Saccharomyces cerevisiae S288C: one gene and its partner. The gene in region 1 interacts genetically with each later gene. Each region holds a gene or a part of one and is shown on either strand. Other genes may lie near its edges.

Region 1 (7,172 bases):
AAAAGTAAGAATTTTCTGCGTCTATCTTTCTATTAGGAATAAAATATGACTATATTTACTATTATTGTTGTTTTGTCGTACAATCCTTTATGAATGAAAATATTAAGCTTGTGGTCTTAAAAGAATGTGGATGAAACAAAACTGAATCCAATGATGAGAAATAAATGTACAATCAGATAATAAACACTTTTATTGATGATTGTCTTTTCTTGCAAACCCCAATGTTACAATCGCCCATTAGTTCTAAGATTGTGTTGTCCTTTTTCTTACGAAATTTTTTTCCCTCCCTTTTTTGATCACTGTCCTCGTTATAAGTGATTCGTGGGGTAACGGCGATATCATACTATTATTGGCCCATCTGATGGATTAGAAGACCTACAGGTTAATGTGAAGCGACACTAATGATAAGAAAACTGCATCGGATCATATCTGTTTTTGCAGCGTGGTATATTGGTTGTTGGTCATGTTTCAACGAAAGACTTTACAGAGAAGGAACTTGAAAGGGCTCAATCTTAACCTGCACCCAGATGTGGGCAATAATGGCCAATTGCAGGAAAAGACAGAGACTCACCAGGGACAATCTCGAATAGAAGGCCACGTGATGTCTAACATTAATGCAATACAGAATAATAGCAACCTGTTTTTGCGAAGAGGCATAAAAAAAAAACTGACGTTGGATGCGTTTGGTGATGACCAAGCTATATCGAAACCAAACACTGTGGTAATACAGCAACCGCAAAATGAACCTGTTTTAGTTCTGTCTTCTCTATCACAATCCCCGTGTGTATCATCATCATCATCTTTGTCCACGCCATGCATTATAGATGCGTACAGTAATAATTTCGGATTATCGCCATCATCCACGAATTCTACTCCCTCTACGATTCAGGGATTGTCCAATATTGCAACACCAGTTGAAAACGAACATTCGATATCACTACCACCTTTGGAGGAAAGCCTATCGCCAGCCGCAGCAGATCTGAAAGATACGTTGTCGGGAACTTCAAATGGTAATTATATACAACTCCAGGACTTGGTTCAGTTGGGGAAAATTGGTGCTGGAAATTCTGGAACTGTGGTGAAGGCACTACATGTTCCTGATTCCAAAATAGTTGCCAAAAAAACCATTCCTGTGGAACAGAATAACAGTACAATCATCAACCAATTAGTTAGGGAATTATCTATCGTCAAAAACGTTAAGCCCCATGAAAACATTATCACCTTCTATGGAGCTTATTATAACCAGCATATAAATAATGAAATCATAATTTTAATGGAATACTCTGATTGTGGTTCTTTAGATAAAATACTGTCCGTTTATAAAAGGTTTGTTCAAAGAGGGACTGTTTCGAGTAAGAAAACCTGGTTCAACGAATTAACAATATCAAAAATAGCGTATGGCGTACTAAATGGCTTGGATCATTTGTACCGACAATATAAGATCATTCATCGTGATATCAAGCCTTCCAATGTTCTGATTAATAGTAAGGGGCAGATTAAGTTATGTGATTTTGGAGTTTCCAAAAAACTAATAAATTCTATCGCTGATACATTTGTTGGAACGTCCACTTATATGTCACCAGAGAGGATACAAGGAAACGTTTATTCTATCAAAGGGGACGTTTGGTCATTGGGCTTAATGATCATCGAGCTGGTAACTGGAGAGTTTCCCCTAGGTGGGCATAACGATACACCTGATGGCATATTGGATTTGCTGCAACGTATTGTCAACGAGCCTTCACCAAGATTACCCAAAGACCGTATCTATTCCAAGGAAATGACAGATTTTGTCAATAGGTGTTGTATTAAGAATGAAAGGGAAAGGTCATCGATTCATGAATTGCTACATCATGATCTTATAATGAAATACGTATCACCGTCTAAAGATGATAAATTTAGACATTGGTGTAGAAAAATAAAATCTAAAATAAAGGAAGACAAGAGAATTAAAAGAGAAGCCTTGGACCGTGCCAAGTTAGAAAAGAAACAATCGGAAAGATCAACCCATTGAATGCATGCGATAACATTAGTTAGGAACATATTGCACTTTTTTTCACATCCCTTTCTCAAAGCTATATTCATATATATATAGACTCTCCTGATTATGTAAATCACAAACCAATTTTCTAATGTAACAATATTTTTAAAAATAATCATCAAAGTAGCACTTTATGTACAGAAAATTTCACGATTGAGAGAAGCTTGCGAATAATACTAGTTAGCCTGTGTTTCACCATCGTTACTTAATTTCTTATAGTTCTTATATTCTTTATTTTTATGCCACAACCAACCTTCGGTTCCTCTAACGAAACCGAAGGCGATTAATAACCCACCGAAGCTACGTAAAGTTACTTTCCACCATTGTGGGTTTCTTTTTTCAAATTCAGTCAGAGAAATGCCTCTTTTGGCTTCTTTTTTACCATACTTGAATGGTTTCCCAGATGCCAAGTATGAGCCAAATCCAACAGAAAACATAGTGCTCATGACTTGACAAGGAACGCAATCCATAGTCTCTTCTTTTTCCAGCTCCCTTTGTGGTGGAGGGTTGAACACTGCCAAAATATTACTCATTGTTTTTCACCACTTGCTGTTTCTCTCTAAGCGGTGTTTTGTTTCCTACTTGGTGGCACACAATGACTGTACTCGCTTTATATGCTCGTACCTTTTTTCAAAAGCCCATCGTTAATTTTTCACCCGAGGACCCCATATTACGCGTTTTTTGTTAATGTTCAATTTCTGACATGTTACAATTATAATAACGCCAAAAGAGGTAAATGTATATTTGAACAATTGTTAAAGAGAAGATAAAAACCCTTTAATCTTGCATTTGTCGTCAATAGTACACAATAGGCGATCTATTTTAGTACGGCAATTAAAAGAAAGCTGCTTTTCAGTCAAGAATGCCGGAATTAACAGAATTTCAGAAAAAACGTTTAGAGAACATCAAAAGGAATAACGATTTATTGAAAAAACTCCATTTGTCTGGAGTAGCATCTCAAATTAAGCACGAGGCTGGGGTGTTGGAAAAATCTAGAGCTCCTGCAAAAAAGAAACAAAAAACAACTAATACCAGAGCAACCAAGTCTGCGAGTCCCACTTTACCTACACGAAGATCAAGAAGGCTAAGGGGTGAGTCTGCAGACGATGTGAAAGGAATACCCAATGTGAACGATAATCAGTTGCTTAAAATGGGTTCTCCAGATGGCCAGGATAAGAATTTTATAGACGCAATAAAGGAGAAACCTGTAATAGGAGATGTGAAATTAAGTGATCTGATCAAGGATGAAGACGAAAGTGCCCTTTTAGAGAAATTCAAGAGGTTTAATAACGGAAACTTTTCTTCTGGTGATTTCTTTGAAGAAATAAAAAAGAGACAGGGTGACGTTACGGGGATGGACGAATTTGATTTGGATCTATATGACGTTTTTCAACCGAACGAAATTAAGATTACATACGAAAGAATCTCTGCCACTTACTTCCATCCTGCTATGGAAAAAAAGCTAATAATTGCAGGTGATACAAGCGGTACTGTGGGTTTTTGGAACGTTAGAGATGAACCACTAGCTGACAGCGAAGAGGACCGAATGGAAGAACCCGATATCACCAGAGTGAAACTATTTACCAAAAACGTCGGCCGTATTGATTGCTTCCCTGCGGACACATCGAAGATATTGCTCACCTCTTACGACGGAAGCATCAGGTCAGTTCACTTGAATAACTTACAGAGTGAAGAGGTTCTCACCTTGAAAAATGAATATGACGATTCACTGGGTATCAGCGATTGCCAGTTTAGCTACGAAAACCCAAATGTTTTATTCCTCACCACATTAGGTGGTGAATTCACCACGTTTGACACAAGAGTAAAAAAATCAGAGTATAATCTGCGAAGACTCGCAGACAAGAAGATCGGGTCTATGGCAATAAATCCCATGAGACCCTACGAGATTGCCACCGGATCACTTGATAGAACACTCAAAATCTGGGATACAAGAAACCTTGTTAAAAAGCCAGAGTGGTCACAATATGAAGACTATCCCAGTCATGAAATTGTCTCCACATATGACTCAAGATTGAGCGTCTCTGCAGTTTCTTACTCACCGACAGATGGCACCTTAGTGTGCAATGGCTATGACGATACCATCCGCTTATTCGATGTCAAGAGTAGGGATCACCTTTCTGCGAAGTTGGAGCCCAAACTAACGATTCAGCACAATTGCCAAACAGGAAGATGGACAAGCATCCTCAAGGCCAGGTTCAAGCCGAACAAGAATGTTTTTGCAATAGCTAACATGAAGCGCGCCATCGACATATACAACAGCGAAGGCCAGCAACTGGCTCACCTACCCACAGCTACTGTCCCAGCTGTAATTAGTTGGCACCCGCTGCGAAACTGGATTGCAGGTGGTAATTCTAGCGGCAAAATATTCCTCTTTACTGATGACTCCGGAACCATAAAGCAGGAAGAATGAAAACATCTCAGTTACCCGCACTGCCTTTTTTCTCTCCCGCTTTTCAGCAGAACGAGGCGACAAGCGAAGGAACAAAACAAAACAAAAGAAAACAAAAATATTGAAATGCAAGAACATGGACACATAAAAACATTTTTGATCCGGTCGAAAGAAAACGATCAGAAATTTTTAGCTGCTTGCTTAGAAGAAAAGAAAAGAAAATTGCAGAGAAAAAGCTATTTATTGTTTCTGTCCTTCGCTTTAAAACATAGAGATATTTTGTCCTTTTTATCATTGCTTATTATAAATGCATCATAACTCACAGTCTTTGAGCTCTGGACACATCAGGAGCCCCGAGGATGAAAATGTGGCACCTATAGGTAATCTTAAACACAGGACTGGATCCCTCAGTCATATTTCATCTGCGCACCCGAGGGTCGCACTTAGCGACGTTACCAATATAGTTGCGACAAACTCTAGCAACAACAGCATAAGTAAGCCAAAAGTCGCCCCAATTAAAGAAAGATTGGATTCAGCTGCGATAATTGAGGAAGAAAGGCTGGATGCGAATAGTGTTGCACAGAGAAAAGAAGCTGATCATAACGATTTGTTAACGGACAGGGAACAAGAGGAACCCGTTGAAGACGACGGAGAAAGCGAAGAGGATGAAGAAGAAGACCAGGAGCCTCTACTGTTGCAACATTATGCTAGTGATACATTGGTCTGGGAGCATGCATTTAGAACTTACTATAGAACTACATTAGATCCCAATGATGATGACGTGTACGATGTGGTCATGGTTGCCGAATTATCTAATGAGATATTCGAGTATATGAGGAAATTGGAAGACCTGTATAAACCCAACCCGTACTACATGGATAAACAACCAGAGTTAAGATGGTCGTTTCGAAGCACACTGATTGATTGGATCGTCCAAGTACATGAAAAATTTCAACTTTTACCTGAAACTCTATATCTCTGCATTAATATAATAGACAGATATCTGTGCAAAGAAGTTGTTCCTGTAAATAAGTTCCAACTTGTGGGTGCAGCCTCACTCTTCATTGCTGCTAAATATGAGGAAATCAACTGTCCTACAATCAAGGATTTCGTATACATGTCAGAAAACTGCTACTCAAGGAACGACCTGCTGGACGCAGAAAGAACTATTTTGAACGGCTTAGAATTTGAATTGGGTTGGCCTGGTCCGATGTCATTTTTACGAAGAATCAGTAAGGCAGACGATTACGAGCATGATACGAGAACACTGGCCAAATATCTATTGGAATCCACAATAATGGACCATCGACTGGTTTCCGCTCAACCTAGTTGGTTAGCTGCCGGTGCATACTTTCTAAGTAAGATTATTCTGGGCCAAAATCAGTGGTCTCTGGCGCACGTCTACTATTCCAATTATACACAAGAACAAATTCTTCCGTTGGCCACCATTATTTTAGAAAATTGCAGATATGCCTCTAAACGTCATAACGCCATATGGAGAAAATATTCTTCACGTCGTTATTTGCATTCTTCACAGATCGTAGCGAAGTGGATAGCATTAGCTGAACACAGAGTAGAAAGATCTAACTAAAAAGCCTCAGCTCGAGACATGGCATCAACAAAGGAAAAAGGATTCATTACCGTCTTTTGCACACAAAAACTTTAATCATCAGTAATAAACATATGTAACTTTTTAACCTTAAAACATACTAATCTCCGTACTTTTTTTAAAGCATCCACAATCCATATGGATATGACGCGAAATTAGCTCGGCGGTTAATTATTAAAAAATTGAAGCTAAAATCAAGGTTAACAAAACAACTCATTCAAAATAACTTACTCATTCATATACTGCCACCAAATGGAATATGTCCCATGAATGGCTCATAAGCGCATCGGAAACAATGAGAAGCATTGGTAATGGGGAAGGTTTGCGGGATAAAGGTGCTGTCGTTGCCAACAATGACGGAGAATTTAACGAAGGTGATACAAATCGTGAAGAGGATAGCTCTACCATTTTCTCCTTCGATTTTGACGAGGAGATTGTAATGTGTATTGACTTTTCTGGAGGAAAACTCGGGTGTTCTATTTTAGATTATCATACCAAGACTTTGAAAGCGTTTGACCAGGACTACGTGGTCAATAAAACAACAATTTCGTCTCATGATCTTATCGATGATGCAGATATGTCTTCAAACGACATAAGTCTGTTACTTGGACTTTTAATAATGGAAGCAAACCCAACTGTATGCCTAGTGCCGGCAAGATTGGAGGATTGGATTTTCGACTACATTAAGACAAAATGCGATGAGATAAACTGTAGGCTAGAACTACAACCAATAAAACGTTTCAAAAAATGGGACTTATTGCAGTCATTGCAGTTAAGGGGTCATGATAATCAGACTATATTGAACGACATATTATCAAATAGCAAATTTACCACCACAGTCACCTTAGGTACAGTGGGATGCATCCTTGCAAATCATGAACAACTTGGTGAATACAATGACAGTACTGCTTCAAGTAATATGGTAACAGGACGATTAGTTCAGAATGCTTTTGAAGATGTGATACATGGCATAAGGTATATCGACATAAGGGATCGGATGGTACTGGATGAAAATACTATATCGGCTTTGCATATTTTTCCAACAGCTCATAAACTGGGCCATGATAAGATGATGAGAAATGGTTTCTTTAGTGTATTTGAACTATTCAATCAAG
Region 2 (4,935 bases), on another chromosome or scaffold:
TGTACGCAATGGAAAATGCCCGTTTCTAATAATTAACCTGACCAAATTATCACTTGGAATACTAGCAATAGTAAAAGGATGTTGGAAGGGTATCAAATGGGAGAAAAACCTCCTTAAAAAATTTCTATGGTAAATGTTGATCCTTAGATGCCCTCCTGGTAGGATGGGCTTTTTGGGTAAATCGGTTAATGGGAACTCCAAAAGAGACAATGATGAAGAAATGGGTACTATCGTAACTCTCGTAACATTGGTGATATGGAGCCTATAGACGATTTGTCCCGTTAATATGAGCACATTTAAAGTGGTATAATATGAAATTCCTGGGCGAGCGTGATAATGTAGAAACACCAAAATAAGCCATGTGCTTACATAGTGAACATAGTAAAAAACTCTGTAGCTCCATCGTCTGGCATATCTCACAGAGGTGATGGCAATCAGTAGGAAAAGGCCGAGGGCAATAACCCCATAAATGTTGGGTAGTTTTCTCATTTTCACGTATAACGTATCATTAATGTACATGTAATAGAGATAGAACCACGTGTGTAGAATAGATTCAAGCACAACAATTCTGGAAATCCATTTGTGGAGAGGTAACAATGCTAAGTATAACGTGTGAGGTAACGGTGATGGCCTCAACGTTAGAAATAGTAAAGGTGGCATCAAAGCAACGGAAATTCTCCCCATTCGCTTAGTAATTTCTAACAGATCTCCGTTAGCGCCTTGTATAACAAAAAACGAGGTGAAAACAAAGCATATTAAACATAGTTGTAGTGACTGTTTGTGATACATATGTGTTTTGTGAACCCATGATCTTCTGTTGAAAACATGATGCTTTAAATGGTGACATATTTTGAAGAATTTGTCAGTTAGCAACAAATAATTCATTAAGGGTATAATAACACATATTATAATGAAAGAAATTAAAAGACATATCTGAGAATATTTGCGGACTCTTAAAGTTCTAAAATGCTTGTCCACGTCGACATCAAAACTGGGAAGATGTTCCTTGAACCAGCTAACGATGGACTTTAAATTCATGCTGAAAATAACAATAAATAAAATACAGTAAACTTTTTTAGCGGAACTTCTATTGTAATTTAACGATTTAATCTGAAGAGATGTAGATGTAATAAAACTGTTAAAGTGGCAACGTGATAATTAAAAGCTTGGCAAAAATAAGAGATCAACACTAGCTTTTTCTTTTTCCACCTAAATTTGAAGGGAAATAAAAAAGAAATTGAGGCTGTACAGAGTGTTAATCTTCCATAACGGATACCACCAAACGTTTTTACCCTAAACTTAAATTTTATTACTTATTTTACATGCATAATGGCTGCCATGCGTAGTTCATACATGTTATTTGCACCCTTTTTCTTTTTCAATAACAAAAAAGAGCTTGGGCATTACGTTTTCAACACTTTTAATATTTCCCTTTTTACATCCGTACATATAAAATGTAAACCCATGCATTCATGACAATTTTACCTATTTCTTAAAGGCCTTTGTCACTTCTTTATGGGAATGGCGCTACTTTAATTTTCCGCCTACTTTGAAAAATTTACCAAGGCGAAATTGAGTGCGCTAGGCGGAAGTTCCAGGGCACGGTCACCGAACCTTTGTGCTGTTTCGAACGAGGGTCCCGCTGGAGGTTGACGGACGCGGGAGGAGCTGGAAAGATGGAATGGAAGGACTGCAACACTCAGTAAGAAGGTTCGTGGTAGGGAACATCACCTTCTCTAGTTCCTGTAAAAATAATATGATCAAGTTTGAATCCTCGTATTGAAAAATCGCGAGTTATTAAGTGTGTAATTTAGAATACCGAAATAGCACAAGAAGAGATAAGATAAGATACTGATAGGATAATGTCTTTACCAGCTACTTTTGATTTGACTCCAGAGGATGCCCAACTTTTGTTGGCCGCTAACACCCATTTAGGTGCTAGAAACGTTCAAGTATGTACACATATCCCATACGATTATGTTCTATAGATGATAATAGGTCTCGAAAAGAATATGTCCCCGATTTAATCATATTTGGAGGTCAGAGGACCAAAGGTAATTTCAGAGGAATTTTGAACACGCCGGGTTTAGAAGAGTTAGAATTTCACTTCTTAGTGAGGGTAAGGAGAAGAAACTCAATAAGAATATACATCCTCGACTGTGTCAAAGATTATGAACTCCGATGAAACAGTAAAACGTCAAAAAATTCCACGGGATATAATTCGGTACTTTATTGGATATGGAAGAAAACATTATATATGCACAAATGAACGCTCTTACTAACATAATTTATCTTTCCTCTCTTTTTTTAGGTCCACCAAGAACCATACGTTTTCAATGCTAGACCAGATGGTGTTCACGTTATCAATGTTGGTAAGACCTGGGAAAAGTTGGTTTTGGCTGCTAGAATTATTGCTGCCATTCCAAACCCAGAAGATGTTGTTGCCATCTCTTCCAGAACCTACGGTCAAAGAGCTGTCTTGAAATTTGCTGCTCACACTGGTGCTACTCCAATCGCCGGTAGATTCACTCCAGGTTCTTTCACTAATTACATCACCCGTTCTTTCAAGGAACCAAGATTGGTTATTGTTACCGACCCAAGATTAGACGCTCAGGCCATTAAGGAAGCTTCTTACGTTAACATTCCAGTCATTGCTTTGACTGATTTGGACTCCCCATCTGAATTTGTTGATGTCGCCATCCCATGTAACAACAGAGGTAAGCACTCCATCGGTTTAATCTGGTACTTGTTGGCTAGAGAAGTTTTGAGACTAAGAGGTGCTTTGGTCGACAGAACTCAACCATGGTCCATCATGCCAGATTTGTACTTCTACAGAAACCCAGAAGAAGTTGAGCAAGTTGCTGAAGAAGCTGCTGCCGCTGAAGAAGGTGAAGAAGAAGAAGTTAAGGAAGAAGTCACTGAAGGTCAAGCTGAAGCTACTGAATGGGCTGAAGAAAATGCAGACAACGTTGAATGGTAATCATTTGAAAACCTTGCAATGTGTGTGAATATTGTAAGGAATTGAGAAAGAGAGATAAAAAAAGAGACAGAAGTATCACTTCCTTTTCTAATTTTTCTTTTTCATTTTTTTTTTAAATTCATCTATCGTTTATCTTTATCTCATATATATTTGCTTCTCTCTGAAGCGTCATCATCTATCTGTATTTTTAATGCAATCATAGTATAAAAATTTTTAACCAAATTCAAAAATTATAATATTTTAAAAGTTTATGCTTTTGTCCTTTTATATTCAAGTCATTTGGCCATTATTACGCTTTTTTTTTTATTAGGTAAGTGGTTTCAATAATTAAATTCTTTAGCGGGAAGGCTGACTATCTATAGTATTGAAGATAAGTTAAATTAATGTTTAGTTCTGATATTTCATTTTTATTATTAATTAAATTTGCACTATTCGCCATGACGGGTTCACCCGAGTATTTATTTTGCTTTCGTTATACATATATATATATATATATTCTTCCAGGAGAAATACCTGCCTTCTCTCTTACCCCTTGCTCAATCTAAATCAATCCGTGACCTTAAATCTTCTAGCAGAATGACTAAGTCACAATCGATTTTAGAAATTTGAATAACCAGCTCAGAGATATTACTGACAAAAAACTTGTAATGGCACTGTTTTAGCAAGTTTAAGATAAATGTATCCATTAAGAAAGCATTGATTTTATTCGGACCATAATAGGTAGTCACTATTAGAATATCTAAAAGTTCTAGACCAATACCATCTAATTTGTGCTTATTCAATGCGTTGGTCATAAAATTTCTTATTACAGGCTTGATGAAATCCATTATCACATTTAATTTCAACTTGTCCTTTAAATGGTAGTATAAGTTAGGAAAGTCCTGATAGAACTTCCCCTCAGTAACCGTGTAAGAATTCTTGTTGTCCTTATTGTCATCGAAACGACTATTCAACCAGGTAACGTTTTTCGTCAAATTGATGAAAATAGACCGGGATAGAGTTTCCTGCTCTTCGTTGTTACAACATTTCCTTATTGCTAGATACAATGAGTTGTTCGCATACTGACTGAAAAATCCGGCTTCGTCTAGTTCGCTATAGTGATATAAACATCTCTTGTATATTGGAAGACGAAAATCGTTCGGTATCCCAAACCAATATAAGTTATGCTTACTTATCACCAACAGCAGGTCCGTCTCATCGCCAGATGTATGACAACTTCTCAAATTGCTCCAAAACTTTTCCAATTTTAGTTCTCTTCGAAATAAGTTTCTATTTTGAAACTTTAAATTTAAGATGTTCCTCTTTGTTTCCGATTTAATGAGGTTTTGTATGGATGGATCAGTATGAGTGCACAAGGTTTCATCGTTATTATTGGCAATTAATGATAACGATTCTTTTTCACTATTGATTTTCCTTTTATTTTCCTGAATCAAAGAATCTACACTCAAATTTTTTTGTGGTCTAATGACTAATGAAGATGATCCTGATGAGTTCCTGTTGTTGTTTGGAGTAAACAAACCATCAGAAAACACAGAAGACGCAGAAGAAGATGAAGAAGAGTACATCGTTGATCTGTGATTCGGCGAAGGGGCCACAGGACTCCCCTGAGAGTTTGCTCGAGGAATGGCAAAGTTGTCTATTATGGGGACAGCATAACTAATGAGATTAGTATCTTTATCTATTGTTGTGTCCAGAATTGTTGTCCAATCTGTGGTCCCGGAATGTAGGGCCTCTTCTTTCAAATCGTTTCTTGTTATTCTATGCCTGCTATGGAATAGCCGCTGACTGGGTGGTACGTACTCGTGCATGATATTATTAACCATGAGTTGTAGCTGTTTTGTTATATCCAAAGAATTTGGCTAACGTATCCTTGTACGCGTGATTTATTTATATATACGTGCAGCACAATATATATATATATATATATGTATGCGTGCGCTTGGTTATGGCTCAGT

What was found. Genes that interact genetically often act in the same process or in processes that back each other up.
Region 2: mutations in CMR1 (region 1) and RPS0B impair growth when combined (synthetic growth defect), as found in Saccharomyces cerevisiae (2 studies listed by BioGRID, with this or other methods).

The regions. Positions count from the first base shown.
Region 1 is NC_001136.10:172,018-179,189, forward strand, and holds CMR1 (Cmr1p), read left to right. Parts: upstream 1-2,900; coding exon 2,901-4,469; downstream 4,470-7,172. Other genes in the region: YDL159W-A (uncharacterized protein), read left to right, coding at 165-296; mitogen-activated protein kinase kinase STE7, read left to right, coding at 464-2,011; DMO2 (Dmo2p), read right to left, coding at 2,215-2,571; B-type cyclin CLB3, read left to right, coding at 4,756-6,039; MutS family protein MSH5, read left to right, coding at 6,317-7,172. UniProt on the Saccharomyces cerevisiae protein: DNA-binding protein that binds to both single- and double-stranded DNA. Binds preferentially to UV-damaged DNA in vitro. May be involved in DNA-metabolic processes.
Region 2 is NC_001144.5:240,370-245,304, forward strand, and holds RPS0B (40S ribosomal protein uS2 RPS0B), read left to right. Parts: upstream 1-1,862; coding exon 1,863-1,952; intron 1,953-2,311; coding exon 2,312-2,980; downstream 2,981-4,935. Other genes in the region: FRE8 (putative ferric-chelate reductase), read right to left, coding at 1-1,038; MLO50 (Mlo50p), read right to left, coding at 3,517-4,803.